Caenorhabditis elegans: one gene and its partner. The protein of the gene in region 2 interacts with the protein of the main gene of each other region in a biochemical or structural test. Each region holds a gene or a part of one and is shown on either strand. Other genes may lie near its edges.

Region 1 (17,530 bases), 1.0 Mb from region 2:
AATGCAAATAACCTTTATTCGAGACAGTCGTAAGTCGCATCGAAGGCAGGCAGGCAGTGAGTTTTATGCCTACGTCGAAGGCTTAATTTTATTGGAAAAATTGAGAACAGGTAGGTGTCGGCTGCTATAGTTTTCTGCAGAATTTCTTCAAGAAACAAGTGTAGACAATATGCGTTTGTTTGTTTTTTCATGTGTTACTGTTCACGAGATAACATTGAAATGATTAAAAGTTTTGAGACACCAAACTGAGAGTAGTACTTCTCCAAATAAACAAAAAAATTAGATCAGATAAATTTCTAAGCCTGCAGCAAGATATGTAAAAAAGTGAACATCGAGCTATGAAAATTAAAGAAAAATAAAAATGAAAAATGTTCATAAATATTGCAGCAGAAGCAAAAAAGTGAGAGAAGCATTATTATTGAGGCACGTGTGAGTGACGATGAGACACTCGGTTTGCTCACTATCAGATTAGTATGCGAAGGATTTTTAGTGAAGAAGGGGGTTTTTCGGGGGGAAAGATATACGCAGTTAAAGATAATACACTAAAGGAAATAAATACTAATGAATCACACTTTTTATGGGAAAAAAATGAGATGATCTGAAATTGATCTGAAAAAAAGCGAAAAGATATGATAAGGAAGAGTTCTTCCGGATGCAAAGGCGGAGAGATTTAGCAGATGAATGAATGTAGGGAAAGTCGACAGGAAATTAGAGACCGGAAGCGGAGGAGTCCATTCTGATATTTATAGTGACAGGAAGGACAAGTTTAGAAACACACGAATAGATTTAGAAGTGATAGGTGGGTGGATACTTATGAATGCAAATAATTTTTGGAGCAAAAAAAGTTTCATATGAAGTCCAGAAATCATCATTGGCAAAAATAATCTTTAAAATTCGTTTGATAAGAAAACAGACTGCGAATTTTTTATTTGTTGTAAATTTTTATCACCTGTAGCAAAGGTCTACTTATTGATTCTCTGAACGTTTTTTTTTTTTTGAAAAAAAAAACACAAACTGCAAGTTTGTATTCTATTATAGCACACCACTAACCAATACTGAAATATTTATTTTCTCGCAATTAATAGCTGTTTCTTTGTTACAAAAAAACTACAAATAGAAGTTTTGAAACTACAAATAGAAGTTTTAAGATAAATCTTCAAAATTGTCAGTTCAACTTTTTAAAGATGATGATGCAGATTTACAATAATTTATACAGCTCAGCTGTTAATTTCTTGATTGTCTCATATTTTATCATTTAAAGTAAAGAACTACTTAGGACAACATAGGAAAGTTCTTGATCAATTCAAAAATTACCAAAATCCAAGTAGTCAATGTTGGAATAAATACAAAATTGGGAAAAATGCCAAAATTAACTTTTTGGGAATTTAAAGCATGAAAAAAGTAAAATGTATTTTTTTCCAATTTTTAATATTACATGTTCCGCAAGAGCTATCCAACAAAATAAAAGTTCCCAGAAAGGGAATTTTTAGTTGTGATAATTATTATGAATGGAGCAAGAAGCAGGTGATCTGAAACAGGCCATATTGTATATATCAAACATAATTCTCAAATGTACGTAAAAACTTTTGATAAAATACATTTAAACTATTTTCCTTTGTAACACTGCGTAAAAATGAAATTGTGGCACATGACTTGTCATCAAATTTCCTGTTTTGCAATTTTCTTTCTATATAAACAAGAAAATATATTAAGAAACTGAACTTTCACTACGTTCGACAATTTTTCAGTTTAATTCTGAAATTCAAAATTTTAGTTTCTTTTTTTTCTAATTGTACAGAGACTTCAAGCGCTTGCTCCAGTATTTTGCGGTTTATGAAAATTGTTAAAAAGAGAAAGTATTGAACATTTTGAGTGTTACGATTTTGTAATTATTTCAAAAGATAAAAAGATACTAACTTACAAATTGCATAATGATGAGACTTCATGAGACTTCTTGAAAATGTATTTTTAAAATTTTTATGCAGTTTATTCAGTTATTGAACAAAGGAAAAGTCAAAAATTAGAAATTTTGTCAAAATACTCTGGTATTTTATAATTTTTGATTTTAAATGTTAAGAATTTTAAGAGTAGTAGGAAATAGAACTAACCTAGTTAAAATTTTAAATAAAATACTTTTAGGGAAAAATCAGACAATCTCTTATTGAATACTCTGGAAGACAAATGAATTCCATTATTCTAGGAAATTTCATTTCCAGGAGCTCTGATATTATCTCTGTATAACATACAAATAACTTTCACAAAGATCCGACACAGATATTGGATCTCATCTTTCATATATTTGGCATTTTGAAAGGTTTCTGATCCTGAAAATAAATTGGTACGTGGTGTCATTCTGGTTCTAAAAAGACATTTATTTTATGGTGTCTCGTTTCAAAAACCAGTTTGAGTGGGAATTATCGATTCTAATAAAAATTAAAGCTTAACCTCGATTTCTATAATCTTTGAAATAGTTTCAAGCCAAGCCAGAGAAGAGAGGAAAAAGATTTGAAATAGAAATGTTGAGTCCGGATCATAGTATATATACTACATTTGAATGGTTTCAACTGAAAATTTAGTATTATTGTACCATTCTGATTTGAGAAATAGGAACCACAATGTGGTAGAACTACGCCACCAAAAAGTTATTACGCGTGAACATCACATTTTGAAAGAAAGTCAACATATGATGACCTCATTATTAAAATGCCACGTAAACAACATAAAGAACTACAAATTGTCTGCTAAACCCAAATTTCCGTTTGTTGACGTGGAATTATTCAGTGCAAAAATTATGGAAACTTATAAGCAAAACTGGGGAAAGAATCTTGCTTCCTTCAAAACACACGAGATTATCAGCTCCCTCCAAGGATATCATTCAATTCCCCGTGCATCTCCTGTTATATCTGCGAATCTACACATTTTAGTACTCTCTTATCAGAATAAAAATCCGATCTAAATGTCAGCCATTTGGGATTAGAAAGAAGCGATAAAGTGAGAGAAGTGATGGATATTATTGAAATGTACAATGAATAAATGTATTTTTAAAAATTGAAGAAAAATGAAAAAGAAGACGCAGAAAGAAAAAGGATCTACAATTTAATGTAAACGTCCTTACTATCAGTCTCCGTTTACACAACTATTGTTGATAAGAAACGAGACAAAAGGGGCATCAAAAAGCGAAATATGGCGTAGTTTCTTCTGTCAAAGGTTATTGTTTATTGTTTGTCAAACATTTTTATGTTTTATGATTTATTAATTCTTATCGTTAATTATTATTTTTATGCAAAGAAATGGATAGCACTGAACGCGGTTTTGCAACAACGAAACCAAAAAGATAGTTTATAAGAAAACATAGAGTTACTAAAAAATTGTTTAACACAGATTGTCTGCCTAAACACCTACCTACTGCCTACACAGCCTGTTTTTTTAAATAAACCCTGTTTTGGAGCATTAGGTTTGTTTGAAAGAAGGTAATCATTTTGCTGCCTAGATTAAAGTTTTTCATGTTTTTTCTGCCTAATTTGATGTTTATACTTGATCTGACAAGTTTGTTTAAAATAGAACGTAATAAAACATGCTGCCAATTTTTTCAAATCTTATTCATTTTCAACAAAAGAAAATTAAATTCAGTTATAAGAGATCAATAATTTCATCAAAAAGCTTCTTAAAATATCATTGGTGCTTCCCAAAAAAGTTCACAGAGCGTACGTAAATGAGCGATATTTAGTTGGTCAACGACGCTAATATGATTCAGATTTTAAGAGAGATCAAACTTTTGAATCATAGAATGTTTCGCGTAGATTCAAAAATATATAAAAATTGAAAAGTGCAAATGAAATAACTTATATGAATAAGCCAAAAAAAGAATGTTCAATACGAGAATATGTTCATGAACATTAAGTGAATGCAATTGAATAAGGCAGACAGGTTTACTTTGAGTGTCTTCTCAAAATCTTTTGAAGAGAGGTAATCAGATAATCGATTCTTCTATTTCTTTATCTTTATTCAAAAAAGAACGATTTTTTAAGCTTTCCAGATGGAGTAGCTTTAACGTGGATTTATTTTGAATTAACTCATAATAATCTAAATTCACTCAAAAAAGCACTTTTTGCACAATTCAAAAAAGAATTTCAAAAAAGCACAATTTTTGAAATTTTCAGTCAATGTTTTGGTCAATTGCCAAATTTCGCGAAAAATTCAGGAAAAATTCGGTTAAAAAATCACATGTTTCAGCTCCTACAATAATAAAATAATTATTATTAGAAACATTTTAATAATGAAAAAAAATTGTCGACTTCCAAAATTATGATGAGTGTGGAAAACCGAGTCATCGTCATTTTAGTACTATATGAGTGATTTTTTAACAATATTCCCAATGCACTACTATCTTTAATTTGAAAAAAATTTACACATATACATATTAACGAAAAATCCAAGGAAGTCTGTCATCAAATCTTCTTTCCGTATTAAAAAAAACAAGCGTCGTTTTGAATAAGAATACACATTTTTTGGTTTGGGAAAAGAAGATGATGCAGATGAAATTATGGAGTGAGTAGAGTCAGGCGGTCGAAGATTGGCTCATTTCAAGAAATAAGTGCCTCCAATGGACAGTCCGTTTCAAGAAAAAAGAGAGACCTCGCTTTACGATTATATGGAGAAAGTGTATCGATTCAGGGAAATTCAGGAAAAATTTTTTTGTTTCTTCTATCCTTTTATCGCTACATTCAAGTGAGACGAATTAATTTTAGTCTTTCTAAAATCAAAATCTTCCACTTGTATGAAGACTATGGCGAGGATTTGAACGACCAAGAGACTTTCCATATTAGAAATTTAGAACATTATCAATGAACATGTCCTTGCTGAATCGAAAGTTGTCGGACGATAAGATGTGATTAACAACAATATTTCCGCAATTCTTTCATTTATAAACAGAACTGTAGAGGAAATTGGGATAAACTGCTAATGAAATCCTAGTTGAATGACGAAAAAAAAAGAAAAGACAATAAAAGTGGTAGTGTATATGAAGTGATGAAAAAAGAAAGGAAAGATGGAATACATTGAAACAAACCTAGATATGATGGGACCCGGGACAATATTGCGATCAAAAACAACTGGGAATTATGGGAGAAAAAAGGAAGAACATTAAATATAGGGAAGGGAACATCGACAGTGCCATAAATTGCAATTGGAAGTATAGATGCACGAAAATTCTGAATTTCATTGTGAATTCATTTAATTTTTCATGTTACCTATGCTTCCAACGTCTGCAAAAGGAATGAAAAGATAGAAAAATGACGAACGAAGAGGTGACAACAATGAAATAATACGGGAAGAATTGGAAAATAATTTCGGTTAAAATAAGTGTAGAACTGTGAAGGCTAAGCACCAACCATCGGCCTAGTCGTATAAGTCCCGTGGATACAAAGATATTCTCGACAGGCAAATGGATGGTTTGTAAGATAAAAATTGATGGAGCCGTATACGATATGCACAAATAGGGTTCATATATAGCGAAAATTGATGTAAGAAGTAGAAGAAGCTATTGGAAAAATCCCGATTTCTCAATATGTAGATGTTTCGTCTGAAATATATGTATGTTAATTAGCCAATTGTGGATTTACAAACCTAACGAAAGATCTTGGGTTACTGTAGATTCAATACTTTTGTCGGCGATCTGAAGCTTTACAGATAATTATGGCAAGCCAATAGACTACTTGCCTCTTTTTCTTTTTCATTCAGAACATCGCTAAACTGCCTTTCATGAATACGTGGTAGTTGCTCACTCGATTCACGAACACTAGCTATTAACTTCATTGGATCAATTCTGTATTGTCTAGATCCCAACGAAGACGTATCATTTTCTGCTGACTTCTCTTCATCACCGTACTCATTTGAGTATTTCGTCTTGTGTTCTAGGCTTATTTTGCCATAATCTTTCTCTACTCGAGCACGTGGTTCCAATATGGTTTTTGTGACTCCGTTGTCGCCAACTTTTCTGAAGCTATCATATGAACGAGATTGATGTGTGGATGCATGATCAACAACGCTGTATGCACCATCAGAATCGATGTATCGGGCGGATTGACCATCTCTGTAAAATGTTTTGATTATATGAATGCTTAAATATGTATTTTTTGCAAATTAAAAATGCTCATTTATGATGTAAACGAAAAGCTATAAACTCTTTTAATTTCAACTTTAAAAACGTACTTCTCGGTAAAACAGCTAACTGTTCTTGGTCTTCTTCCCGATTCATTGATATTTGCATTGGATAGGAATCTCTGAACAAAGTCTCCATCCATTAAATCATTTCCGAAGCCACTTGCAGAAACTGTAGTATCAGAATCATTGTGCGGTGACTCATGCATATAAAGCTTTTCATGATCCAAATCAACATCATTCGATTTCAACTTCAAGTGGTGTGTCATTTGCAATTGTACTTGTTCCAAAGACGGGGACCTCTTAGCTGGCCCAGAATTTCCCACATGAAAGTCGTATTCATTGGAATTGCGAACGTCTCTGTGCACATTAATTGTTCTACTTGAGTGAATATCTCCACGACTTCCTGTCTTCCAGCGTTGTTGATCATCCTTCTGAAGTCTTTGATGCTGTCGTGGGTACTGTCTTTCATATCCTTCTGTAATAATTATGATTTTATCAATTTTATTATTGTCATAGTCTTACGGTCGTGCATGCTTTCAACATTCTGATCGTCTCCATTCACTGATGTTCTTCTTGAACCAATATGTGAACGAAGATCATCTTCTCGAACTTGTTCGTAAACACGTTGACGAGGTGTTGTCGATGGATAATAAGAACCTGTGCTCGATGATGGTCGATTTCCCATGTTTCTAGACGGTTTTCTGATTTCTTGTGTTGATCGTAGAGATGGTGATGATTCACGGTGATTTCTGTGTTGTTCGGCTGAAAGTGATTGTTGCAATGATGCTTTGAACGAATAAACCAACCTTCATTTACCGGAAACAATCCGTGGACATAAGGAAAACCATCAAATACTACAGGATCCGCAAATGGCAGAGCAGACACTGAAACACAAAATTTCAATAATGATAATTTTTACGAAGACATAGAATATTGATGGAAGCTAAACGCTTTATTGTGGTTGAATTTACGTAATAAGATCATCACAACCGGGTGAAAAGACAAATATTACATAGTGGCGGTAGGAGGAACAAGAGAAAATTTTGTGGCTTAAAACTATCCAGAATTTGGCAAATTTTTCATGAAGAGCTCATTTTACACGATGAATATATAACATGACGAGAGATCTTCTAAAGGTGACCGAAATTTCCGTTCAAAAAGTTAAAGTTCTGTGGAACTATGTAAGAAAATGGATAAATATTTGAAGAATAACGCGCACCAAAGGATCCATCGACGATGATCGGTGGAGGGAACATGATATGTGTGCCAGGATGTAATCCAGCTGCACCTGAAAGCTTGTATGATTGTCGAAACAAAATATATAATAGCAACCTTTCAAAAATGTCTGAGCTTGCTGATGTTGCTGCAAATAGACGTATTTCAGCATGTGATGATGAGGAGTTAACATTGGTGGTGCAAAATGTGGCGTTGGAAATTGCATAATAGGGACGGTTGCTGCAAAATTTCCTGATTTTAAAGCACTCTGTAGTAATATTATTATCATTGTTATTTAAATAAATTTGATATGCTTTTCTTAAATAATTTTATAGTATAATTTGTGTGTACTATTTACAATCATAAAAGGCAAATTGCTCACATGAATTTTCGGAAAACGAAGATACTCTTGTGTGAGACCTTGATGGACCCCCAGACGACTCAGAAAATTGTTTTCCTTTGCTCATGTAACTGTGTTTGGAACGAGAAGAAGCTATTGATGAGCTTCTATGACGACGACCGTTTGAACCATCAGAAAGTTCACCCCGACACTGAAAAAATCTCGTTTTGAACTAAAATGTAAAATAAACATGACTAACCGGCATATTGAAATTTTTCAAAAAGTTTGCCGGAAGAGAATGATGCCAGATGGAGTTGTCATAATCATTTGGTTGTGGAGCAATGAAATCAAATTTTTTCTGAAAATTACTTGTTCTTAATCTCATTTCAGAGAGACGTGCGCTTACCGAGAGAACTTTTTGATAAGCGGTGTACAGCTTCTTTATGTTAAACTCCTTCGAACGAAGACTGGCACAGTTCAACGGAACCTCTCCTGACAGTAGATCCGCGGGCTCATACACGGAAGGAGTCATTTTAAGAATAATCCCACTCTCATCAATAATCATGTGTATGTTCCGATCAGAAACTCTGCTCGGTTCTGCCATATCAGTATTTTTAATGTTGAAACACATCGAAATAGGAAGGAGGTCCTGTAAATTCTCGAGTGTATATCTTTCTATGTATTCATACTCCTCACCATTATGTATCTCCTGGCTTTAAGAACATTGTCAATGTTCCCAACAACTTTAATTTCATAAATATTTCCACGAGTTTCGTTTCGATTATTGTAACATGGATAACTAATTATTGTCGTTGTCTCCCTCTCGATTACAGGCTGAAATTTAATGCTGATGTAATAGAAATATCCTTTAGCCAAACCATGAGTTGCGCCGTCGATGAACTTCCAAGAACTTGATCCACGTAGTATGTTGACAATGTGAAATGGAGAGTGAAATTCTGAAAAACAAAATGTTCAGGATATATATTCAGTTTATCTGCTAACATTCTCCGGTGCCGGAGACTCGCGGAAAAGTATTTCATTCAGTCGTTTTGCAGCTTCGATCAGTTCATGCTGATTCTTTTCGCGGGCGGTGATACGAAGATAGGTTGTGACGATTCCATTCTGAAGAAAATTAATACTGTTGGTTACTAGCTAAATCGGCTTGCCTTTTCTGGAGCATCGACGAAAGACATTTCCACATTTTGAATGGGGTTCTGTCTGACATGTGCCTGAAGTTCGTGAAGTGGCATCTTCATTTTTGACAGTGCCATAAAAACTGTAAAATGACAGTTTCTCTGTAAAATACGAACATTATTCATATAATCAGAGTTGAACGTACTCTCATCAACATTCGTGCTCTATCCACGTCACCAAAGTATCCAGTGATGGTTACTTGCTGTGCAAATGGATCAGGTGTAGTTCCTCCGACAGAACGATCGGGAAGTTGAATGAGGGTGTTAGTTTCTGCCATGATTGACGCGACATTCTCGTGATCCCCGTTGTCACTGAAATGAATACAATTTCTTTCGCTTAACTGGTGAACTAACCTGGTCATTAGTGAATAGTATTGGGATTCAAACTCCATATTGAGGGTTACTCTAGTTGGGTTAATCTCGATCTAAATGTTGAATCAGTTAATCAGTGGAATGTGAAGCAGTCAAACCATTGGTATATTTGACGGCAGAGGCAATCCTTGCGCTTTTAGCTGATGAATATGAGCCTCTCGTTTCGTGTTGTATGACACCTGTCGTCTCTGATTAGCATCCTCCGCCATCTGAATTGTTTGACTGTAACATAACAAGTTGTTGCCTTTACCTGTGCAGATTGCTGGAAATCATGATAGAAGTTTTCAGGATTCACGATAATATCTTTGAGGGCAGACGATACAAATAGTTTTCTAAAATCGGAGTATTAGAATGTTGTAAGCGTAAACCATATTTAATACCTTGCAGATGCCGCATTTTCTGCCATTTGGAGGCGTGTGTCAGCATCGTATTCAACGGCAGAGCGAACGAATGGATTGTAGGAGTGCGCTTCATCATGATCTTTTTCATGGCTTTGCTCCCCCATCTGCAAAATTGAAATCTTGTTTCTAACACTAAAGCGTTTGCTCAGTAAATTTTTTGAGTTTCAAATATTTTATAAATGATCGTCAGTGCCTCCGTCGATGTTACTGGTATTAGTATCATCGTGGAACGATTAATTACAGATAATATTAGCATTATAAGGATGAAATTGCACGAAAACAAATGAGAAAACACACTGAAAATCACGCTGAACGTGTGTTCGAGGAATTGGGCGCCAAACAATCTCCTTGAAGAACGTTGTAAGACCTGCTCGATTTCGGTAATGCGCCTTTCTGAAAACTTTCTTGGTTACTGTACTTTTTAAATTTGATTAGCTGCCTAATATTAGGGGCGGCTTCATTTAACAGACTGAACATTTGAATTACATTTTAATAAATTGTTATACTATTTTGTTATATCTGTGTTGCTTTCTACTTTTTCAAAATTAACTTCCCCTTTTTTAGAAACACCCATTGGCTTTGCATCATTTTTTATTTTGCGAGCTACTGTAAACAAGTCCGCAAACACCGCACACAGAGAATTACGTCTTAGTCGACGCGCAAACCGCTTTAACTTATTTTCGCTTTTTCCGTTTTTAATACAACTTTTGTTAGTTTCCAGGCTTTGAATATGGATGAAGAGGGTTCTCGTTCGTCTATCACTGATGAAGAAGATTATGTAGACGATAATGATAATGGCGAAGACTATGAAGGTATGCTTATATATATATTTTTTCAAATTTCTTCAACGTATGGTTTTCCAGCGACAATTGAAGAGGAGGAGCTTCTAGATGAAGGGGACTACGAAGATGAATTGAAAGGTGAATTTCTTTAATTTGCTTCTGACTCATTTTTCTTTTCAGACTTGGAAGATGAGGGAGAAATGTCAATTGAAGAACTTCAACGTAAGTATGGCTATCGTCCAGCGGAAAATTCATCTGCAAACAATGAAGATACGGAAATCGCCGAAGAAGTAATTTACAAATGATAAAGTGAAATTATAAAATGTTTATATTTTTCAGAATGTAGGGGAATCAAGTTCGGCTGCTGCAGAACCGCACGACTCAACAATTTTCGATATGGGTAATTCAATGAGTGGCTTCGACGACGATGATGACGACTATGCACCACCGCCAGACCCATGGAAAAGAAGTATTCGTGTGGATCCAGTACTTTTCCAAGCCGACGTCCCGCTTTTTAATGAAGCAACGGTTGAAGGTAAGCAATGATCTGATTTTTGATTCTATATCGATTTATTTCTTCAGAATCTGCTCGAGAAGATGACACTATTTTATGGACAATTGATCAGACGAATCAGCCAAGTGATGAAGTTATTGACAACTATCTCAAAGATGTAGTAGGCTTACGAAAAGCCCACGACCAACCATGTCCACCAGCTGGCACCGAATCACGAGACGACGAGGACGCTCTATGTGCTTTGTATAGAAGCAACTTTGACACAGAAAAGGCGAAAGAATCATTCCCTTTTCCTCATATAAATGCCCCATTCCGCACTGTTCGCTCAGATGCATTGGGATTCGATGAGAGTGAAGCAAAGGCATTTGAAGAGTCACTCGAGCTGTATGGAAAAGATTTTTCGCTGATAAGGAGACTACGGGTTAGTTGTATATTTTGCAAATTCAAAAAGTTTTCATAATGTTTTATTTTAGCTACCCTACCGGAAAGTTGGAGAACTTATCGAATACTACTATCAATGGAAATTAACCCCTGGGTGAGAGAACGACGATTTCAAATTTTAATAATTTATTTCAGCTATCGAGTTTGGCGGGACGCTCATCCACAGCATGCGCCAGTAGTTCAGCCTCATTTATCTGCTGCATGGCATCAGCAAGTAGCTCAACTGGAAGATCAAAATGGTCAAACTGGATTTGTTGAAGCCTCCTTCTCCGAGCCATCTACTTCAGAGGAGCCATCAACTCTTACGAACTAAAACTAGGGAACTATTTTTTTACTTTTTCACCTAAGCATTTATTATTTTCGATCTCTGTTTAACAAATAATCTCGCCCCTGATACCCATTTACGTAATCACAACAATCAAATTCCTTCGTTGTCAAATTAATCTGAATCAAATATTCACTTTCATAAAATTTCATTGTTAAAATTAGAGTTTATCAACATTGATGACGACCCGTACACTGTCGGACTTCGGTCTCCGTATCATCACACTCGATTTCCTCCCAGTCATCATTTCTAGCACGTACAACACGTCTTCTTCTGGTCTGTGATCCTTCACCACATGTAAGTGAAAAACTGGGAGCCCCGTAAAAATATGGTGGAAATATGGAGCAAAAAGCATACCAATCGGAAGATAATGTTACTGTCTACTGAAAACCAACATTTAATTCTGCCATCTCGGTCTCAGTATCTGAAAATTTGCATCTGAAATTTTGGTGTTAAATCCCGTAGATTTTGCACTTATCGACCCCGTTTTCAGAGAGAGAGAGAGAGAGTAAATTATAGCTACGTTCGCACTTTTGTCTTACCGCATAAAATCCAATGCGCGTGCTCCAACCAACCGCAGTTGGCCCATGATCCAAGGGTACACCGAATTGGGGGTACATTTGTTCTTAGGGTACATTCGACATCATCACAATCATTCTTAGGCTACATCCACCGGTTTGTTCATAGGGTACATCGGCACTATGTTCCAAGGGTACATCCAATTTTCAAAGGTGTTGGGTATCTACGTGTACCTAGCCCTCAACGTGGATATGAAGATCGTGCAACGTGAACTCATGATCTATGTATACTAACTTTCTATTTATTCCTTTGTTATTTATGTAATAATAAACTACTCGTCTTAGCCTCCTGGTTCAGCCTCGAATACATAACATTGTCGAATACATAACATCGAATACATAACATCGAATACATAACACTCATCATCTTTTTTGCATATGATCACAATTTTTTCGTTTTTTAACTGCTGTATTGAAAAATTCGAATAAATTCATAGTTTTGTTTCTAGATTTCGATTTTGTGAATTATTTATCAAAAATACTAATGCGAAATGAAATTGAAATCAAGAAACAAAACTATGGTTCAATACGGCAGTTAAAAAACAAAAAATTATGATCCTATGTGAAAAAAATGAGAAATCACAACTCTAAGAAATTTCAGTTATAAAAATCCGTTGTACCCCTTGAAAATTGGATGTACCCTTGGAACATAGTGCCGATGTACCCTATAAAAATCTTATGGATGTACCCTCTGAACAAACCGGTGGATGTACCCTAATAATGATTGTGATGATGTCGAATGTACCCTAAGAACAAATGTACCCCCAATTCGGTGTACCCTTGGATCATGGGCCAACTGCGGTTGGTTGGAGCACGCGCATTGGATTTTATGCGGTAAGACAAAAGTGCGAATGTTGCTATAATTTTTAGTATTTTTAGTCAGTAGCGAAAAAGACGCCCGTAGTCAAAAAGCCATGTAGTCAAAAATCCAGTAGTCAAAAAGTATTTCCCCAAAACTATACTGATTTGGGCAAGTGATAAATTGGCTGAAAATTGTTTGAGCAGCACCGAGGTTTGATTAATAACAAATTATCTATGGGAAAGACTGAGGCACTTTTCATCGATAAGTTTCATGAAAAATCAAAAAACGAGAAAATAAGTTTGAATTTATGAAAAAAAATTGAAAGCAATAAAATATTTAAAAACATGCAGCAATTAAAAAGGTTAACAACGGAAGCATTTAATTAATTGATTGGCTTTCAATTTTATTGAGTGTATTTAGTACTTTCTTCAACAAGTTGGACTCGAAATACAAATCTATATCTACATTACAATTTGTATATGCATTTCTGACACAGAATTTGTTTCCTTTCCAGATTTTGACCTCTTTGAAAAAAGAAAATTCCTGTTCATCTTGCAACTTGACAGTTTTCTCAAAATATAAATGATTATTCTGAAGTGATGACTCGTATTCCCACGGCTTTGGCTTGTAGTTGAATGCTGGAATCACCATATTTCTATATTTAAATCCTGGTGATGTTCCATAAATCGGTTCGTGAATAAACAATCTCCATGTGACATTGAAATTTCTTTGTCCCTTCGGAAATCCCATTCTCAAAAACATCATAACAAAACGGCAATGATGCTCGACTGGAAGTGGTGAGAAACTATTTGGAAGAGTTATAATCATGTTCTTGGTTGGAAAAATTCTTCGGACATTTTCAATGATATTATCCGTTGGTAATATTTCAGCACTTCTATGAAACATTTTAACCAAAGTATTAACACCAAAGCGTAGATCTAGTTCCACTTTCTCCAATGAATTTTTAGAAATTGGATGAGTTGAGATTGGATCACCAAGTCGTTCTTTAGTGAATAAATGAAATTGTTCAGGAATTGTAATAAACTCTTCCATATTATTAATTGTGATTATTAATTTTACAGTCTTCACTTTCCAGTTTGAAATAATGATATCAATAACTTCTCTTGTTATATATTTATAGTACCAAATTCTTGGATTTGGAACAGCACTGTGTGACAACCTTAAAATAAGTTTGTCGCATGAAATTTTTGTTTTCTTGATGCTTTCCATTTCCCAATTCTCTATTCCTACTTTGAATTCCATATTTGGAGGATCATCCGGCAAGTCAGCCATCCTGAATGAAATTGATTATAAGTAGTAATTCCAATTCCTTCTAACTTTCTCGCAATCAAACATTCAAAGTCGGGAAATCTTGAATGATTATTTATTTGATTGTTCTCAATTTAGCGAAAATTCTAACGAATGAATTGAATGACTTAGTATTGACATATCATTGAAATATTGTTGATGATTCAAAAAATCGTTCAGCCAGAAAAAAATCAAATCACTCAAAACTTACACTTCCGGTAACTCCAGTTCTTTAAAGTGTTTTGGTTCTTTTCTACGAATAACATTAATTTGTGCTGGGCCGTATACTTCACAGTTTAACATTATTCTCATGCAATCAAAGCATCCGTGTAAACATATATCAATCATTCCTTCGAAATGTAATATCGATTTATCTGTGAAAATATGGTTTGTTTCAAACTTCGATTAATCAACTCACAGTTATTCCCTATTAAATCGTTCATAATAATATTGTGAAACAGCAGATCGTTATTTAAACAGAAATGGCTAAATGGAAACCCACGAGCTGGTTCAAGAATTAGCTTCACAATTTTAACTGCTACAGTATCTTTTAGAAATCTGTAATTAACATACGCAAAAATTATTTAAAAATGCTTTTCTTACCTAAAAAATGAAGACATCTTGTTACTGGTTACCTTCTGATAGTTTAAATATATGTAACAGTAACGGCACTCATAATCAGTTCCCATGTATTCTGTGTATTCATCTGCTACATCACAATGGTATGCAGTATGAAGGACGACTTCACGATGATCTTTCCGGATTTTATGCAGAACTGCTTCGTTGAAACTTTTCTTTATCAGCTAAATATAAATTCCATTGTCATTGGTGATTTAGATTTTGTGACTTTTTTAAACCATGATACAACTTACCCTTAACGGTATCAAGGGAAAAACATATTTCGATACATTGTTCAAAATCTTGTCCAGAATTATTTCATTATCAAACACAGCGTTAATTGGGTCAAAGTTCTGAAATGCCAAACTAAAGATGAAAGAAGGAAAACTCAACTCACGTTTAAATACATTGCAAATCCTGTAAAAAATGTTAGAGCAGTCACGTACGTACAGTCTCTCAGGCAGCTGAAAATAAGGAGACAATGCACAAGATTAGAAGGAAAGGAGAGTCATCGTCAGTTGCGCATTGTATCTTTATACATGGCGTTGACCCACCTGTTACTTAATTGATCATTATTGCCACAATCGGAGCGTTGTTTAGTAATAATTGACCAAATATACATTCCATGAAGGAAACAGTCGCATTTTGTGTGTCACTTGAGCATTATCTTTTTTGTAAAATACATCAAATCATCTCCAAATAGATTCAGTAGTTATGCATGGTATTCCCTGGTAGGTCTATGACGTGTCAACTGCCAATTTCCAAATTTTTCACTAACAACAAGTCTACATGTTCAGATGGGGAATTAGAATTTTTATTGAATTTTGATGCAATTTGCCTGTAATCGACACTTTTATATGTATATTCAGGAATTTTTCAGAGCCACCCTAAAATGTGTAAAATGTGGCTGGCCGACCCAGTTCGACTGACTGTCGATCATTCTAGATGCAAAAAAACACAACTTTAAAATTCATTTTGAAAAAAAGTAAAACGGATAGTAAATTTGTGATAATTATTATAAAGACAACCGTGCTATCAAAGTAAAGCATAACTTCAAATCGAACGATGACTTTTTTAAAGTTGAACTAAAAATACAAGAAAATATCAACTTTTCAATTTGTAAATGCATTTCTGAAACAAACAGGAAAATTCGGCATTTTTTAACCATTACTCTGAAAAATCAGTTAATTGAGTTTTCAGAGTATATAATTTATAAATCGTTAATCGTAAATTTATTCATTTTGTTTATTTTTAACTGGCCAGATTTTATTCAATTCTATGCTCATAAATCAATTAATATAGTTATTTTACTTTCACTATTCCCAACTACCGTAATAAACACTTTTTTCAGTTAGGTTCCTATCATTTAGAGATTTTTGTTATTTTTTTAAATCATTTATTTGCAACTACAAATGTATATTGAGATCAAGAAAATATGAAATTAAAAATTTAGTCATCTCCCAAATGACCAGTCTTTCCTTTGATATGCCTTCTCCAATATTGATCAAATGCAAAAAACATTGACTCTCTAACTGCACAGATTGCAGGGAAAATTGCAAGAGCCAAGAACATCCATTGTGAATAATTAGTACATTCTGCTACTGTCGGATATCTACAGTGCGTTTTTTTCCACTTCTACGACTTTAAAGGGGGCGCATTTACGCGCGATGGTCTCGACACGCGAAACCCATTGGTTTTTGGGGCGCATGGCGAGACCAATCTCAAGCACCATAGCGCGTAAATGCGCCCCTTTAAAGTCGTAGAAGTGGAAAAAAAACGCACTGTAATTTATAATGCAGAAAAAAAATATTGAAACAAACTTTCCATTATTTGTTTTCATATCAGTATCAACAACTTCTCCAGCAACAACTATGTAGAAACCTTGTCACCCACAACGAGAAATAGCGCTGAAAAAAATTACTGCAAAAATTGTCAGTGTGAAAAAAGTTTAAAACCACTCCTATAGTGAATCCAAATATCAAAGTTACCATTTTAAAAAAATCTCTTGAGTTTTTTTGAAGCTGAAAAGTGGGGAAACTTAGTTTTCCCCTACCATAATCTTAGTATTCTAGAAATTCAATCCAACAGAAATTCTCGAAATTTCTCAAAACGCCTACATTTTTGAAAAATTTGGATATTTTCCAATATTTCGAAAAACTTACTTTTCCAAAATAATATTTAAAAACTGCTATTGCTGTGATATTATTCACACCCGCATAGAGAATAAAAATAACATTGAAAATGTATAAAGTATTGAGAGATTGAATAACTGCTTGAGTTCCAAATCGATTTGTTGGTACCCAGAGAAGCAGGAATAAAATCTGAAATTAAACAGGTCCAAGGGCTCCTACAAGGCAAATGAATCTGGGTTCTTTTGCAATTTGCAAAGAAACTGTCAGGGCGTTCTTCCATCCATCTTGTTTTGTTTCTTTCACTACTTCACACTAAACTAGTTATTTGTAGAAAAACAATATTGTTT
Region 2 (15,568 bases):
TTTGCGGAGTCTGTAAAATTTAGGCCATTTATCAATATTAATGGCTGAAAACCAACTTTTCTGAACTGATTTGTATAGCGCATTTTTGATTGGTCCATGTCGATTAGTTGATAATTTTATTCGAATGGTTACTTATAGAAAAACTATCAATTCACAGAAAATAGAGAATAGGAATAAGAAAATAATATTTCAAATTGAATTTGAGAATGACGAAAGTGTGTCACATACTCTGGTGTTTGCGTACTTTGTCATTGTCTACCGTATCCAAATTGAAATTTTCAAACAATGCGATTTGCTTATTTATCTCTCAAAATTTTAGCATCTCCATGGAGAGATATTCTCTGTTAAAACAGATAAAAAATTGTGGAATATTCCAGACCGTACCGTATAAAATTGATAAAACATTTAAACCTCCCGAAAAGCTATAACCAGTTGGCTCTCGCGAGACGCGAGGGACGATCGTCGTCGACGATCGTATGATTGGGATTGGTTTTTTTAAAATTAATTCATAATCACATAATTCAATTTCCAGAAGACTAAGTCCCCATAAACCTCTATAGAGTTGCATTAAATCTCCATATTCCGGATGATGTTTTGATATTTAGAATTTCAGAAAATATTGCATTGTATTTGGATGTTGTAGGAAGCTTAAGCTTCCTACCGTTTAACCATCTAAAACGCAAATTACGATTGTTTTTCAAACATATTGTTTATTTATAAACTAGAAAACAAAAAAATTCCAAAAAAAGTTACATTCGAATATTTGGGGAATTAACGGGATTAGAAGAAATTTGAGAATCACAATCATTATTCAGGATAACCTGTCAGGGGTATCGGGAAATATTGGTAAGTTTTAGATGGTTTTGGGGAAGAATGGGCGTTTTTGGGAGTTAATATACAAAATAGAAAGGAGAAGCAATAAATTAGATAAAAATAAGAAGAATTATGAGACATTCAAGAAGTAGAAGAAGCAATTGTCTATTGTGATCCAGAAAGGGCGGAGCAAACACTTCGAACATCCCAAATAATAATCACACGATTATGGCCACTGGTAACTGGCCCTCATTCCGAGGGGACAAACTTTTAGGGTGGCAAGGTATTTTTGGGGACAAAGTATCCAAAGTGACATGGTATCCAGTCGACAAAGTGCCATTTGTCTCTGACCGGGCGTATCTTCGGTGACAAACTTTTTCAACTAGTTTTTTTATATATATTTCTTGACCATTTTTTGTTCATATTTTACTGGAATAAGTTTTTAAATGCAATTTTCCATGGATTTTCGGCCTTGACTACTCACAATTGAATGCATGAACAATGATCTTTTGGGAAAATGCTGTAAAACGTCCAACTAACTTGGAATATCGTAAGATTCTTCGAGATGATGACGTCGGATCCTTCGGAGCTGAAGGATCAGAACATCAGGAAGAGCCTCGTGATCCTTTGGAGCTGAAGGATCAGACCATCAGGAGGTACCCTTACGATCCTTCTTATCTGAAGGATCAGAACATCAGAAGGTACCCATGTGATCCTTCGGAGCTGAAGGATCAGAACATCAGGAAGAGCCTCGTGATCCTTTGGAGCTGAAGGATCAGACCATCAGGAGGTACCCTTACGATCCTTCTTTTCTGAAGGATCAGAACATCAGAAGGTACCTATGTGATCCCTCGGAGCTGAAGGATCAGACCATCAGGAAGAGCCTCACGATATTCCAAGTTAGTTGGACCTTTTACAGCTTTTCCCAAAAGACCATCGTTCATACATTTAATTGTGAGGGAATTATAACCGATAATCGATTGAAAATTGCATTAAAAAACTTATTCCAGAAAAATGTGAACAAAAATTAGTTGAAAAATACATATAAAAATCTAGTTGAAAAAAAGGTTGTCACCAAAGATATGCCCCCCAAGATACACCCCAGTTTGTCTACTGGATACTTTGTCTCCTTGGATACTATGCCCCCAAAGAACCTTTGCCACCAAAAAGTTTGTCATCTCGGAATGAAGGCCGTTTGTTCCATAGTTTGTAGATATTTATGTTGCTCGAGAACTTCCGGAAAACAGGGAAAAACGTTTCATCTGCAAAGAAAGGCTCAGAAATTTCAGAATTTGATTTTAATTTTGAGTACGCCAGTCGGAGCACGCGCTTCAGCGCGTGCGAACGGCTGGTTTTTATATATTTAAACTCTCAACGTAAGTTGTTTCCTTTTTTCTGATTTAGCTGATTTTCACTTTTCAGATTGCAACATTGATTACAATTAATGTGGATTATTGGAAAATAAAAAAAACGTGTGGGACAAGATGCACTTGCTGCAGGACCTCTTCGCTCTTCTAAAACACGCCGAGATTATGAAGCACATCGCTAGTTTCAACGTTTCAGTTCATGGAGTGTAAGTGAAGACTACCAATATATTTTTCTTGTAACAATTGATCATTTTAGGGACTGGTCTCTATCCGACATCTGCTTCAAACCAGCTCCACCATCTGTCGCAGCCGATTCTGCCGCTTCCTCGCTTGGTGACGTCATCGATATGATATGCATTTGGATTACTCCAATAGATTATTTTTGCGATGGATCGAAAGCTTTTGAGCCGCATCCATCTCTCCCAAAATCCTCACTCCGATCACTTGGGACGTCGTTGAGTGCGCTGTCAGTTGATGATATGATTCGCTGGTCAGACTTTGGGCAAATACTGTTTTACTACTTGATCTTTTACAACGCATCTCTTTTACTACAGGATCTCTTTTACTACGGAATCTCTTTTACTAAGAATTCCACATCTAGATCTTTTACTACAATTGGATATTTTACTACGGAATCTCTATTTTATCTCTCTTCTTGGAACAAAACATTTTATCTCTCTTCTTGGAACAAAACAAGATTATAAAACTGGGAGAAGAATTAGTCCGTTCCAATGCAAATCAGAGCCGTCATGACAATAGAGAAATATTTGACAACAAATCTGAAAAATAAAATTCTGATGACATCCATACTTCTGTAAAACTCACTCAAACTGAGAATCCAAGCATCAAAATACCGAGAAGTGTGGAGAATGATCCATGAATTACTGGAACAAAAACTCGATCAACTGCAGATGACGTTCGTTGAGATCTTGTTCCGAGCGCCGTCAGGAATGAGACAACCACATGAACAGTGAATTCGACTCCAATTCCAACTGCGGTGATCAAAGTTACGGCTGAAACCGGATTGAGCTTAATTCCAACGAGTCCCATGAATCCGGCAAGTTCGCAAGTCATGATTCCGAGAATACAAACAACCATAAGTGCAGCCCATGGATTAAAAAGAAGAACGGAAATGACACAGAAGACAGAGATGGTAATGATCGAAATGGCTTGCATAAGATTTCCAGTCAAGAAAAGATATTGTTCCCAGAATGTGAATGCGATTCCTTGTGGGAAATTTGGAAGTCCTTGATCGGTAAATCGTTCACAAACACTTCGGATGTCCTTTATGGCATCGACAATCACAGCAGTATCCGTGAGGCCAGTTAAGTAGAATGGAATCTGCGAATATGCAAGTGGCTCAGCAGTTGGGATGAAGTTTTCGGTATTATTCTTGCTCAATTCCCATTTTGGTGGTGTTGGGAAGAAAGTTGTAGAATCCATCAGAGTTGATAATTCCACTTGCATCAACTAGTCGAATCTTTCCTATTCTTCCAGCACACTCAAATAGAGAACCATGAGAGCACATGAGAGCGTGAGCAAGACGAGCATCCTCGGAAACATTGCTGCCAATAACTGTTCCAGATGTAAGATTGAATGATCCTTTAGCAACTTCTTCATCGAATCCGCGTTGAATACTAATGAGCCAGTCTCGCATTAATCCCAGCCAATACTTTTCTGATGGCTCTTCGTTTTTATTTTTAATCACATATTTTGAAGATCCAATCGACTGTCGGTAATTGTCAATCTGGCGTTGCTGGTGAGCATAATCAATGTTAGGTCCCTTGATGACTGCGAACATTGGGTAGAAACTGAAAAAAGAAAAAAAAATGTTTTGAATCAAAAACGAACTTCTTACCTGAAGTACTTGTCTCTGGCTCTCAAGAACTGTGCAGGTGCAGTATGTTCTGGTAGAACATCTCCCAATTCAAGACCGAGTGTCGACTGACGCATTCCAACAAATGATGCACCGAGCAAAGCACAGCAGCCAACGATGATTGCTACTTTAGATGCTGGTTTAGAAATGAATGGAATGTAGTAGTAACGGATGAATGAATGAAGAGACCATGGAGCTGGATCATCGCTCGATGCCATCTGCGCTTGAGTTATTCCGTCGAACTGTTGCATAATCGAAGCTTCCGAAGTGCTCCAATAATTCGTTTACTTTGAATCTTTGGTTTAGAAATCATCGAGTACGATTCTTCTCTAGTGTCGAAATCACGACGCTGAGCCTTCTTTCGTCGAAGATCAATAGAAATGATCGCTGGATAGATTGTAAGGATAGCTATGAAATTGAATGTGAGAAGAATACTGGACTGAGCACAGAATGATCGCAGAGCTGGAATTGGTAGAAGAGTTCCAGTGAGGAAGGAAAGAATGTTGTTGATCGAAGTGCACAGAATTGACATTCCAGTTTCACGCATCAGGATAGCCATCTCAGCGTGTCCGCCAGCAAGTTTAACAACGTCACGATAGTTGTGCAATAACATGAACATATTATCAACACCGATTCCAAGAGTGAGGAATGGTACAATTTGTGTTGTAGCAGCGTTGAATTCTATTCCAAACCAAGTGGCGAGACCAATACCTGCCACTGAAGCGAATGTGACGACAAGAACTCCTGCAAGGGCGAACCCCCATTGATGATTCTGTAGCCGGAAGGCAGTTGTCAAATCGAGAATTAGTAACAATAGCATATGCCAGCATGAGAGCATATCCAGCAAGGATGATGGTATAGTTGAATTGACAGAATTCCTCGAGCATATCAGCAATGGATGTCGATGCAAGTGGATGCAATGTTCTTCATAGAGAGAGAGAGTTTCCAGAGTTTCTTCCAGGCTCTGCTTGAATCTCAAGAAAACATCGGCGGGGCTTGCAACAAGAAAAACGAATTGTAGAGCATCAGCTCCTGATAGTTTTCCTCCCTTCTTGGCACGTCTTGGATTTCCAAGTATCATATCTTCAGGCCAATTGAGAACGTTAGATGCGAAACCAGAACATCCTCCAGTCATCTCTGCTGCGTAATCAACATTCTGTGGGTACATGTTTTCAGACATCACTTCTGGCCATTTGTCTTTGTTATCTTTTAACCATTCGAAAGCAGACTCCCGGTATGATTTACAATCTGAAACGTGGTTTTATATTTTACTAGAAAAAAAAACGAATTTGCTTACTGCCTTCAAGGCAAATACTGTTTTACTACTTGATCTTTTACTAAGTATCTCTTTTACTACAAGATCTCTGTTACTACGGAATCTCTTTTACTACAAGTTCCGCATTTAGATCTTTTACTACAATTGGCTCTTTTACTACGTGATCTCTTTTACTACCATTTGACCACATAGATCTTTTACTACGGAAAATACTTTTTTACTACCTCATTTTTTACTACGTGGATCTTTCACTACGGTTTCATATTCCGATGTTTTGCTACAGTTTGTATCTTTTGCTACGGTAGACATTTTTACTACAATGGCAGGGATTGTACTTTTCACTATGTTTCGTATCTTTTACTACTAATTTTTTACTACGAATTAAAAATTAATGTCTATAATATTTTATACTCTAGATATAAACAAATGTATGAATAGTTTTTTTTAAATACATAGGTCATAATTGTAGATGGAGTTAATGGAGGGAGACTGTTGGGTTACTGTAGTGGTATTGTGGGAGTAATTCTTTTTTTTTTCGCATAGCCAACAAATTAGTTCCATACCCGTTGCTCTATAAGTTTTGTCTATAATGTCTATATGTATAAGTCTATAATGTAATAAAAAACTTGCGGGTTCGGTCAGTTATCTGTCAGGTGTTTAAAATTTTGACTTCAGCTGACATTTTGAAACTTTTGATCAACACTTTAGAAATGTTTTTTTTCTAAATTTATCGAATCTTGTATAAAATTATTATTGTTTTCGGTCAATTTGAATGTTTATATCACGATTTTAGATTTGAAAAAAAAACGGAGATAAGTTGTCAAAAGTTAGTTCATAAAACGTATTGACTCCAAGTACCGATATCTCCGCGAAAAAACAATTTGGTAAAAAAATGTTCAACTGACAAATCGTAGATCATACCATATTCAACAACTTTGTAGTTGAAAACTATGACAAATAAATTGACGACCGAGATAGGATACCTACATTTTCATTTTCAGAAAATCTTCTGAGTTTTAAAACATTTATAGAGGACTTTTTAAATGTTTCTGAAATTTTTACAAAAGTTTTACAAGAGAGCAAGAGATCATATCGTGTTTTTTTTAATTTCTAGATCCAAATGGCCATAATAAGTTCTGCTCATTTCATAGTGAATAAATTTCCAGAAATTAAAAAAAACACTATATAATCTGAAAACTGTTATTTCCACAATACCACTACAGTAACTCAACAGTCTCCCTCCATTAACTCCATCTACAATTATGACCTATGTATTTTGAAAAAAAATTCATACATTTGTTTATATCTAGAATATAAAATACTATAGACATTAATTTTTAATTCGTAGTAAAAAATTAGTAGTAAAAGATACGAAACATAGTGAAAAGTACAATCCCTGCCATTGTAGTAAAAATGTCTACCGTAGCAAAAGATACAAACTGTAGCAAAACATCGGAATAAAAAACCGTAGTGAAAGATCCACGTAGTAAAAAATGAGGTAGTAAAAAAGTATTTTCCGTAGTAAAAGATATATGTGGTCAAATGGTAGTAAAAGAGATCACGTAGTAAAAGAGCCAATTGTAGTAAAAGATCTAAATGCGGAATTCGTAGTAAAAGAGATTCCGTAGTAAAAGAGATCTTGTAGTAAAAGAGATACATAGTAAAAGATCAAGTAGTAAAACAGTATTTGCCATAAAATTTAAGATTAAGAATAAAGACCAGTAGATGCGATTCCAGCAGTTGAAGATGCAGTACCAGCAAATATTCCAGTAACAACTGCTCCTATTCCAACTACGACTACTTTGTCACCGGAGGAAACCAGAGCTGCAGAAGAAAAAGAGAAAAAGCAAAAAGCCAGAGAATTGAAAGACTGTATTTAAGTAAATTCGTTTTTCTATTAAAATATAAAGTCATGTTTCAGATTATAAATAATACCGGAAGTCTGTTTTCGAATGGTTGAAAGATAACAAAGACAAATGGTCCGAAGTGATGAATATGTATACACAGTGGATGTTCTGGTTTCGCATCTAACGTTCTTAATTGGCTTGAAGATATGATACTAGGAGATCCAAGACGTGCCAAGAAGGGAGGAAAACTATCAGGAGATGATGCTCTTCAATCAGTTTTTCTCGTTGCAAGCCCCGCCTATGTTTTCTTGAGATTCAAGCAGAAGCCTGGAAGAAACTCTATGAAGGCTGGATTAGACATTGATGCATGGAACGAAATTGCTGCTGAACAAGTTCTTTAAGCATGGCAGAGAGAGTTCATCAAGTCACTTCACAATCATAAGGCAAACGTTGATGAGAAACAAAAGAAGAACATTGCATCCACTTGCATCAACATCCATTGCTGATATGCTCGAGGAATTCTGTCAATTCAACTATTCCATCATCATTGCTGGGTCTTGGTCTTGCCACTTGGTTTGGAATCGAATTCAACGCTGCAACAACACAAATTGTGTCAGGAAGTACGAATTTATCTTGACAATTTTAATTTGAAAGTATTTTTGTTTCAGAGTTCTAGCCGAAGAACATTTTCTCGATGTTGGATAACAATGAGAGGATTGCCACCACCTATACGAGGACCACATGAGAGAAGGACCGCCAATGTTCGCGGAGTTCTTCCTCATCCCCAGTATCCAATTTTTGTTTTTCTATTTTCTGAGAGTCCCATTATTTTGAAATCGATGCAATTGTAAGATAAATTTCAATATGATAATTGAACTATATTTATTCTTCATGGTTTCTAATTTGATTAAATTTACAAAGTCAACATTTGTCGGTTATCAGTTTTTTGTTCTCCGAGCAAAGAACAACTTTTCTCTTCGCTTTCAAAATTGTTTTCTGAGCAGGCATTGTATGGAAGCAGGAAGCTCTCGGTGGAAGCATGACAAAGACTCGAACGATATTTTGCCAAGTTGTCTAATTTTATCTGGATTCATTAAAATCGAAAATAAAAAATTAACAAAAACAATGAACAGTAAACAGAAAGAAACAATAACACAACTGCATAAAAAGCAATAAAATAACAAAAAAGAAAAGAAAAAACAAAACTGGGCAATGATAAGAGTGGGGAAGGCACAACATCGATCTTAAAATCGAAACGAAATCATTGCACCAGTTTAAAATATTACAAAACAACAGAACATAAGTGGGTGGGATGAGATTTATGGTGAGAAAGTTCCACCTTAATCATCGCCGTGACTACCGGAAGAAGAAAATTTGACAGAGACTGAAGACTTATTGCTCCGTGGCTCTAGCATCAGGCTTCCTTCCTCGATCCCATTCTTCTCCAACTCCGGACCATCGTGCTCGGAAGCAGTACTGAAGTAATCCGTCTTGAATGAATCGTGTCCCGAAGATTGGAGTTCATAAATCGGATGAGTTGAACGGAGATTGGCAAGCGTCTCGATCATCTTTTTGCCGGATGAGAACCTGAATTTCGAATTTCAAAATATTATTGTGACAATAGTGATAACCTTGACAAGCGATGCCTTTCTTTCGTAACTCTCGAGTGCAACTTTTTCAGCCAATCCTGGAATGAGATTGCATGGTCATAGCCTCCTTCTTTCGTTTGCCGTCTTCCAGACACAGCATCACAGCAAATAGTCAGCATGCATTGAACGACGTAGTTTCCGAATTGATGGAACATCATGATATCGAGGGCATCTTTTCCCGTGTCCCTGAAAAAACATTTCATTTTTATGTGACTGAAACTAATGTTTTTACGGATGTGGAATGTATCCGTCGAAAATCTCGTCCATCATTTCGGCAAGAAGTTCCAATGGTGCATGTAGGAATGCTTTCTCAACAACATGAGAAGCAAACTTTTCCTGGGACAACGAAAGAAGGTTGCGCCTGAAATATTGATGATTAAAAATCAAGTAGATATTAAACAATAACACTCACATGAGGCATTTCTCTATGATACATTCCCGATAAACGGCCAGATCATCATTGGATACAATATGCTGTATTATGTAATTGGCATACTCGTTCGTAGCTAATTCTTGGCACCGATTAGTCACAGAAGTCATGAGTCGTTGGAGCGCTCGTTCACGAAGATTTTGAGCAGCGGAAGTTAAATCAACGTTCATTGAATCAGCAGTGAGCTTTTCGATAATAGTTTGCACAACACGGCACCCATACTTATCAGAACAAATCTGACGGAGGTGCTCTGGGGTGGCAACGAAATCCACAATAAACTCCCAATTCTTCAGTGGGATGACTGCTACGACTTTCTGAATGACGTGATTGGCATTTTGATCAACACAGATTGCGATAAGACGAGCATCACGAGGTAGAGCTTGAACAAGTTTACACGCAAGGGATAAATCCATGTTCTGGAGACTGGATTGGATAACACGACACGCAAATTTGTCCAAGCACATATCTGTCATTTGGGAACTGATGAAGTTCTTCAACTTTTCTTGTCGCTTTGTGTATCCGTCATCATTAGTTGCCAATGAAATTCCAATAACGCTTTGTACCAAATAATTTCCAAAGATGTTCGTGCTCAATTTCTGAAAAGAAAAGTCATGTGTGCTCGCAGAAACTAAAACTTACAAGGAAATCATCTTTTCTCCCAATAACTTGTTCAAACAATTGGAACTTCTGATAAGATGTCAGGCTGCCCTTCACTGCCTTTTCTAGGAACTGGCACCCAGTTTTGTCAACGGCAAACTTCATTAAATCGCCACTATCCAAAACTTCAGAGAGCGACAATCTTGAACGCATTTCACCATTGGAATCCAAGGACCAGGTTGGCAGCACATTGTTTGATCTTGTGAATGATCTAGAGTTCCTCGACAGAGCGGGTCTATAAATAAAAAAGAATAAATACTAGAGGATAGTGATAAATTAATTCGAACCTCGAATATTTCAAATGGTAGTGTTTTGAAGAACCATAGCTCTTGCTACGATCAATATCCGCAGAGAAACATCGGACATTTTGTGAAAAATCATCCGACTCGAGACGCGAGGAATCCGTATCAGACTGAATGAATGATGAAGTTCGGCTACGCGAGACCGGCATGAACACATTGGGCTGCAAATCAGTAATGAAAACAACCAAAAATTGCCTACTCTAACTTACAAAGCTCTGAAAACTCCGAAGGCTCATCAAATCAGTTAGCGGGGTTGGTGGCCGCGATGTAACAATGTGATTCTGTTGATGGCGAGCATAATTAATCCCATCGTTCATATTGAGCATTGAGAAATACGGGTTGAGAGAGTTGAAGTCCCACATAGGTGTCTCATGCTGCGCCATTGGTGATTGTGCGGGAGTCGGATAACTGTCAATCCCTGTAGAAGGAGGCTTCTGGGAAGTCTGTAAAACTTAGGCCATTTGTTTCTTTAGAAGTTACTGAAAACTTACTTTTCTGAACTGATTCGTTCTGCGCATCTTTGATTGGTCCATGTCGATTAGTTGATAATTTTATTAGAATGATTACTCATAGAAAAATTATCAATTCACAGAAAATAGGAATGGGAATATGAAAATAATATTTAAAATCGAATTCGCAAATGACGAAAGTGTGTCACATACTCTGGTGTTTGCGTACTTTGTCATTGTCTACCGTAACCAAATTGAAATTTTCAAATAATGCGAGATTCTAATCACATGTTTCAAGAATTAAAAAGTGTATTTAAAATAATTATCAATTTGATTACTAATGATTACTAGAAACAATAAAAATTTTTGGAAAATTCCGGGACCGTAACATATCAAATTGATAAACACATTTCAACCTCCCGAAAAGCTATAAACCGGTCGACTGACGGTGACGACATTTTACGAGCTATTCTGTTTCAGACTAAACACTTTAAATTGCTCGAAACACAAAATTTTCTTTCCCTATATTTGATGATTTGGAATATTCTCGTTGTTGTGGTTACGATCGTTACTAAATCGCTAGAGACACTCGAAGTTGATTTAGCAGGTCTAGTGAAGCAAACCGTAGCGGGAAACGAAGGAGTGCTGCATAACTGCAGTTCTGATCAAGATCAAGTGCTACAACAATGTTATATAGATATGTTTCAATCATATGGTTCAAATGTGACTAGCCTTCCCCCAGCAGACGAAGATCCATTTAAGAAAATTCGGTACGATGCCACTGGAATGTGTAGGTATGTGAAGGTATTACAACATTGCAACACCTTTTAAATTGTAAAATTATTGAAGAATTTCAATAGAACCGGTTTTACATGCTAGAATAAATATTTTTAAAAAAGACGAATAATTACAGTACATATACAACTCTACGTCACTGTCATAGTGACGTCATCAATGATTGTCTCAACTATAACACTTTCAATGCAATTTTTGGTTCAGAAAGCAATGCAGCTTATTACATCTCACAAACGGGGTTTCTTGAATTCTATTGTAATTATGGAAATGATTGTGAGGTTTTTCATTCTCGTTCATTGTTTTATAAATATTTCAGTTGTGGCATATTATGAATGTATGCAAGCAATCAGTTTGAATGATCTCTCTGACACGATTTATACTGAATGTTCCGTTTTGGAAGTTGGCAGTTGCGAGTGAGTCTAATAGTTTCAGACTTATTGAGATTAGTTTTTAATTTTGAGCTCCGTATCACGAACCACACAATGTGAGCGAGCAGTAGTGAGAAAATCATGTGGAAATAGTGCTGTCAAATCATACTGCCAATATCAGAAGATTCTCACCCACATGACTGGGTGGAACTTCTGTGAGTACATGCCATGCATCAATTCGTCGCAACCTCGAACATTCTTCTTCTTAATAATTTTAATGTATCTCTGCAAAATTTTTGTTTGATCTCATTTATAAAACAATAAAAGTTTATCTATTCAAATGGGAAAATCATTTGATTCACAACGGAAATGGAAGCAAAAAAGCTTCCAGAAAAAAGAAACCCGCGAAATTTCTTATGATACACTAATTAGAAAAGACGGTAGGAGGTTCTGTTTTTGATCAGAGCCGAATTTTTAAAGTGAGTAGCAAGATGATTCCACTCGAGACTTTCGCAGACTTCAGCCAATGATGTATCAACAGCTTGCGAATCAGTAGCAGACGACTTCAGTTCATCTCCAGCTTTGTTGAGAAGCTTTGCACATCTTCCAAATTGTCCAAGAGCAGCTGCATGTTTGGCAGAGATCAGTGCAGTTTTAGTATCATCAGCAGACAACCAAACGAGAAGCTTGACGTAAAACTGATTTCCAGTCCAATTACTATCCAACTTTTTCAGTTCTTCAGAGACAGTTGCATCAATTTGTTCAGATTTTGATTTCAGTGCTTCATAACCTTCAGACTTCTTATTGATCACTTCTCCTTGCTTTCCACCGAAAATTAGAGGAGTGATTCCTCCGAAACGAAGACTTGCTGGAACGTCGAACTTGCTCTTACGAACTTCAATATCCTGCTCCAATGATGAAAGAGCTTGCAAAGCGAGAATAATACTTTTCTTCCGTTCCTCAAATTGTGAAATCAACTTCACCACATCCTTTCGCTGGTCCTCACTGCCTCCGGTTAGTGCCAGCCATTTGTCAACAGTAAGGAGATCATCATCATGTTCTTGCTTGACGGATGAGAACTGAAGAGTTTCATTCGGTTTTGTGATTTGCAAAATTTGACCACATAATTCAATAATCTTCTGCACGTTTTCCGGTGTTTGATCCACAAGTTTTGCTTGCATCAATTGCTTTACTCGATTCTGAAGTAGTGGGAGATGATCTGGATACTTCTGCAGACAAGCTTCGAAAAATTCTTTCGCTGCCTTTTCGTCTGTCAATTTTTGCACCCATGATACTTCCAAATCGCGAATGGCGTCTGTAAATATGAATTTAATAAAAGATACAATTTTTAATTATTATCTACCAGTCATTTCCTGATTTTGATTCGTATCTTTCTTTGTTGTAACCATTGACAATCCTTTCGTAGGACGAGTAGAGTACTCACTGAGAAAGTAAATAACTTCAGATTTGTCTACATCACTCAAATCAGAATCCTTGAGAGCACTAAATGTTCCAGCAAGGAAACTTCCACTTGTTGGTACGATAGTCTTTGGCAATTTATCATCAGCGATATTCATAGCGTAGACGGTCATTTCTTGATTTGGAAGAAGGGCTTTTCCAGCAAATTTGCACTCTTTTCCAAGTGTTGCATCGCTGGCAGAAGCTGCGAGGTCAACAGAAATTTTGTTTCCAAGTTTCACATGAACACTGAAACACAAAAATCATTTCAGTTAGAATTTAAAGAATTACTTACAGCAGAGGAAGTTCCTTCATTCCTTGCAAAACTTGATCATCCGGATATCTAATCTGAGCCTGAATAGTATAATCTCCTTTCTCAAGCTTCTGAGTCCAACGATCCGGGTACGAAGAAGAAGCACCCACAAACGACTTGTTTGCTCCGAAAATTTGGAAGAGTACACAGTCCACAGGAGATTCATACAAATATGGAGTAAGGCCAGCAAGTTGAAGTTGCACTTCACTTGGTTTTTGAACTGAAAAAATAATATTTTAATAATTATGTAGTTAAAAAAGGTTACCTTTAAGCTGATAAGTCAACAGAAGACGATTGATTTGAAGTCCAGACGTAAGGAACATATCACGTGGTCCCAATGGTTCTACTTTGGCAGATTGTGGTTTCAGTGATACAACAAGTGATTTTAGAGAAATCGAAGGAGAAACGTCGATACTTTTCGTTGGAGCAGCTTGGAAGCGAATGGGCGTGTTAGTTGCTCCATGAATCAGTGAAATAGAAGTTGGCTTTTTGACTCCAAAGAAGTCGATGGTCATGTCAACATCCACAGGATTCTTTCCACGTGACCAAGCACGAACAACACATGCTTCAAGAGTCTTTCCACCTTGAACAGTAATCGACTTGCTCCATTCATTTCCAATTGGACCCTGTATTTTTTGAGTTTCTGTGTTTCGGGAACATTTATCATCCTCAATGTAGACCGTATGAAGTGTAAATCTATCCATTTCGTCTTTGTTAGTAGATCGGAGTGTTATCTCTGTAAAATGATGAGATTAATAGAATTTTCTTTAATTTTCATTTTTTACTTACTTGCACTGGTTGCCCACGACGGTACTTCGACAAATCGTCTTTCGGTGACTCCCGATTTACCAACAAGTCTAGAAGTGTATTGATCAACCGCTACCTTCTCAGGATTGATTACAGTAACCGGAATACGGAAAATCGGTCCCAATGATGGATCAGCCGTATCAATTCCAACAATTTCAGTGTAGTTTGCACCTTTTGGTGCTTTTGATGCATCAACGGTCACAACCATTGTTCTTTCTTGAGCTACCACAAACATTGTTTGTGGATGAGAAACCCATGGAGCAGTTGATTGTAAAATAATCTGTTTCTCAAAACTGATTGCAGGTAAATTGTTATCAGATAGATGATTCTGGAAAATTGGTTCAACGCCAATCGTGAATTCCTGCGGTCCATTCCAGTTAGGCTCACGAACATATACACCTTTCGATTTCTTGCAGTGATTCGATACATTGATCTCGAAATGTGTCAGTCTTGGTGGGAACACTTTATTGACTAAAATCTCGGAAAGTTTTTCATACGCAGTGGCGATCTTGATCATTCCTTGTCCTTGCGAAAATGACTCAATATGTGGAAGCATATAGGCAGTATTTTCCAATGCCATGCGAACGGTGTATGGAGTCCATTTCAAATTATTCTGCTTCAATCCTGACAGCATACAAGCGACATTTCCAGCTGCATTGGGAGAGCTCATACTTGTTCCATTCATCATTTGCATACTTTGGCGACAATATTGAGGAACTCCAGCAAATGCAGCCGCTGGAGCCACAAGACTAACTCCTAGCTTTCCGTCTTGGCTGAAAAATGAAAGTTTTAAATTCAAGAACACTGAAAAAAAACTTACCATGGTCCTCTAGAGCTCCATGGGTAAATACTACTTTCGACAGGCTTGTAAACACCGTAGAGCGTATCAGCTGATTCGGAAGTTAAATAAGCACCAATTCCAATTACACCAGTTGTAGTTCCACCAGGAGCACCGACAGTAGAAAGCGCAGGTCCTTGATTTCCAGCTGAGCAAACGTAGATCACGCCTCGTCTATTAATCAATCGTCGAGCTTCTTCAATGACGCGTCTGAAACAAATCTCTGAACGCTGAGCAATAGACTAACGATGTCTTACCCAACATCCGGCAAATGAGTTCCTTCTCCGAATGACATATTAATGATATCGACGTTCAACTCGGCG

Evidence for each region.
Region 1: the proteins of fbf-2 (region 2) and gld-3 form a complex in vitro, tested with the Caenorhabditis elegans proteins (one study listed by BioGRID).

What each region holds. Positions count from the first base shown.
Region 1 is NC_003280.10:7,124,900-7,142,429, reverse strand, and holds gld-3 (Defective in germ line development protein 3), read right to left. Parts: upstream 9,788-17,530; coding exon 9,663-9,787; intron 9,615-9,662; coding exon 9,533-9,614; intron 9,492-9,532; coding exon 9,381-9,491; intron 9,336-9,380; coding exon 9,265-9,335; intron 9,223-9,264; coding exon 9,057-9,222; intron 9,013-9,056; coding exon 8,884-9,012; intron 8,840-8,883; coding exon 8,720-8,839; intron 8,674-8,719; coding exon 8,596-8,673; intron 8,552-8,595; coding exon 8,414-8,551; intron 8,367-8,413; coding exon 8,124-8,366; intron 8,076-8,123; coding exon 7,977-8,075; intron 7,929-7,976; coding exon 7,760-7,928; intron 7,618-7,759; coding exon 7,495-7,617; intron 7,451-7,494; coding exon 7,382-7,450; coding exon of another isoform or gene 7,293-7,381; exon of another isoform or gene 7,103-7,292; intron 7,047-7,102; coding exon 6,969-7,046; intron 6,925-6,968; coding exon 6,685-6,924; intron 6,638-6,684; coding exon 6,211-6,637; intron 6,092-6,210; coding exon 5,719-6,091; intron 5,675-5,718; coding exon 5,626-5,674; and 4 more. Other genes in the region: T07F8.4 (ELM2 domain-containing protein), read left to right, coding at 10,414-10,495, 10,547-10,603, 10,646-10,755, 10,805-11,000, 11,048-11,400, 11,453-11,514, 11,556-11,733; F10E7.1 (ATP-dependent DNA helicase), read right to left, coding at 13,504-14,419, 14,645-14,807, 14,852-14,991, 15,037-15,236, 15,306-15,404, 15,449-15,515, 15,606-15,673. UniProt on the Caenorhabditis elegans protein: Required maternally for germline survival and embryogenesis. Forms a complex with gls-1 which promotes the oogenic cell fate by freeing the translational repressor fbf to repress sperm promoting factors.
Region 2 is NC_003280.10:6,080,623-6,096,190, forward strand, and holds fbf-2 (Fem-3 mRNA-binding factor 2), read right to left. Parts: upstream 10,859-15,568; 5' UTR 10,751-10,858; coding exon 10,709-10,750; intron 10,661-10,708; coding exon 10,427-10,660; intron 10,379-10,426; coding exon 10,203-10,378; intron 10,151-10,202; coding exon 9,898-10,150; intron 9,855-9,897; coding exon 9,241-9,854; intron 9,190-9,240; coding exon 9,061-9,189; intron 9,015-9,060; coding exon 8,811-9,014; intron 8,767-8,810; coding exon 8,520-8,766; 3' UTR 8,241-8,519; downstream 1-8,240. Other genes in the region: fbf-1 (Fem-3 mRNA-binding factor 1), read right to left, coding at 1-10, 57-98; F21H12.3 (uncharacterized protein), read left to right, coding at 2,298-2,386, 2,437-2,884; nspg-3 (DUF19 domain-containing protein), read left to right, coding at 11,198-11,460, 11,580-11,734, 11,778-11,874, 11,923-12,133; tpp-2 (Tripeptidyl-peptidase 2), read right to left, coding at 12,258-13,144, 13,193-13,536, 13,583-13,820, 13,866-14,336, 14,390-15,180, 15,228-15,455, 15,503-15,568. UniProt on the Caenorhabditis elegans protein: RNA-binding protein that binds to the consensus sequence 5'-UGUGCCAUA-3' in mRNA 3'-UTRs. Involved in the control of stem cells and sex determination in the C.elegans hermaphrodite germline.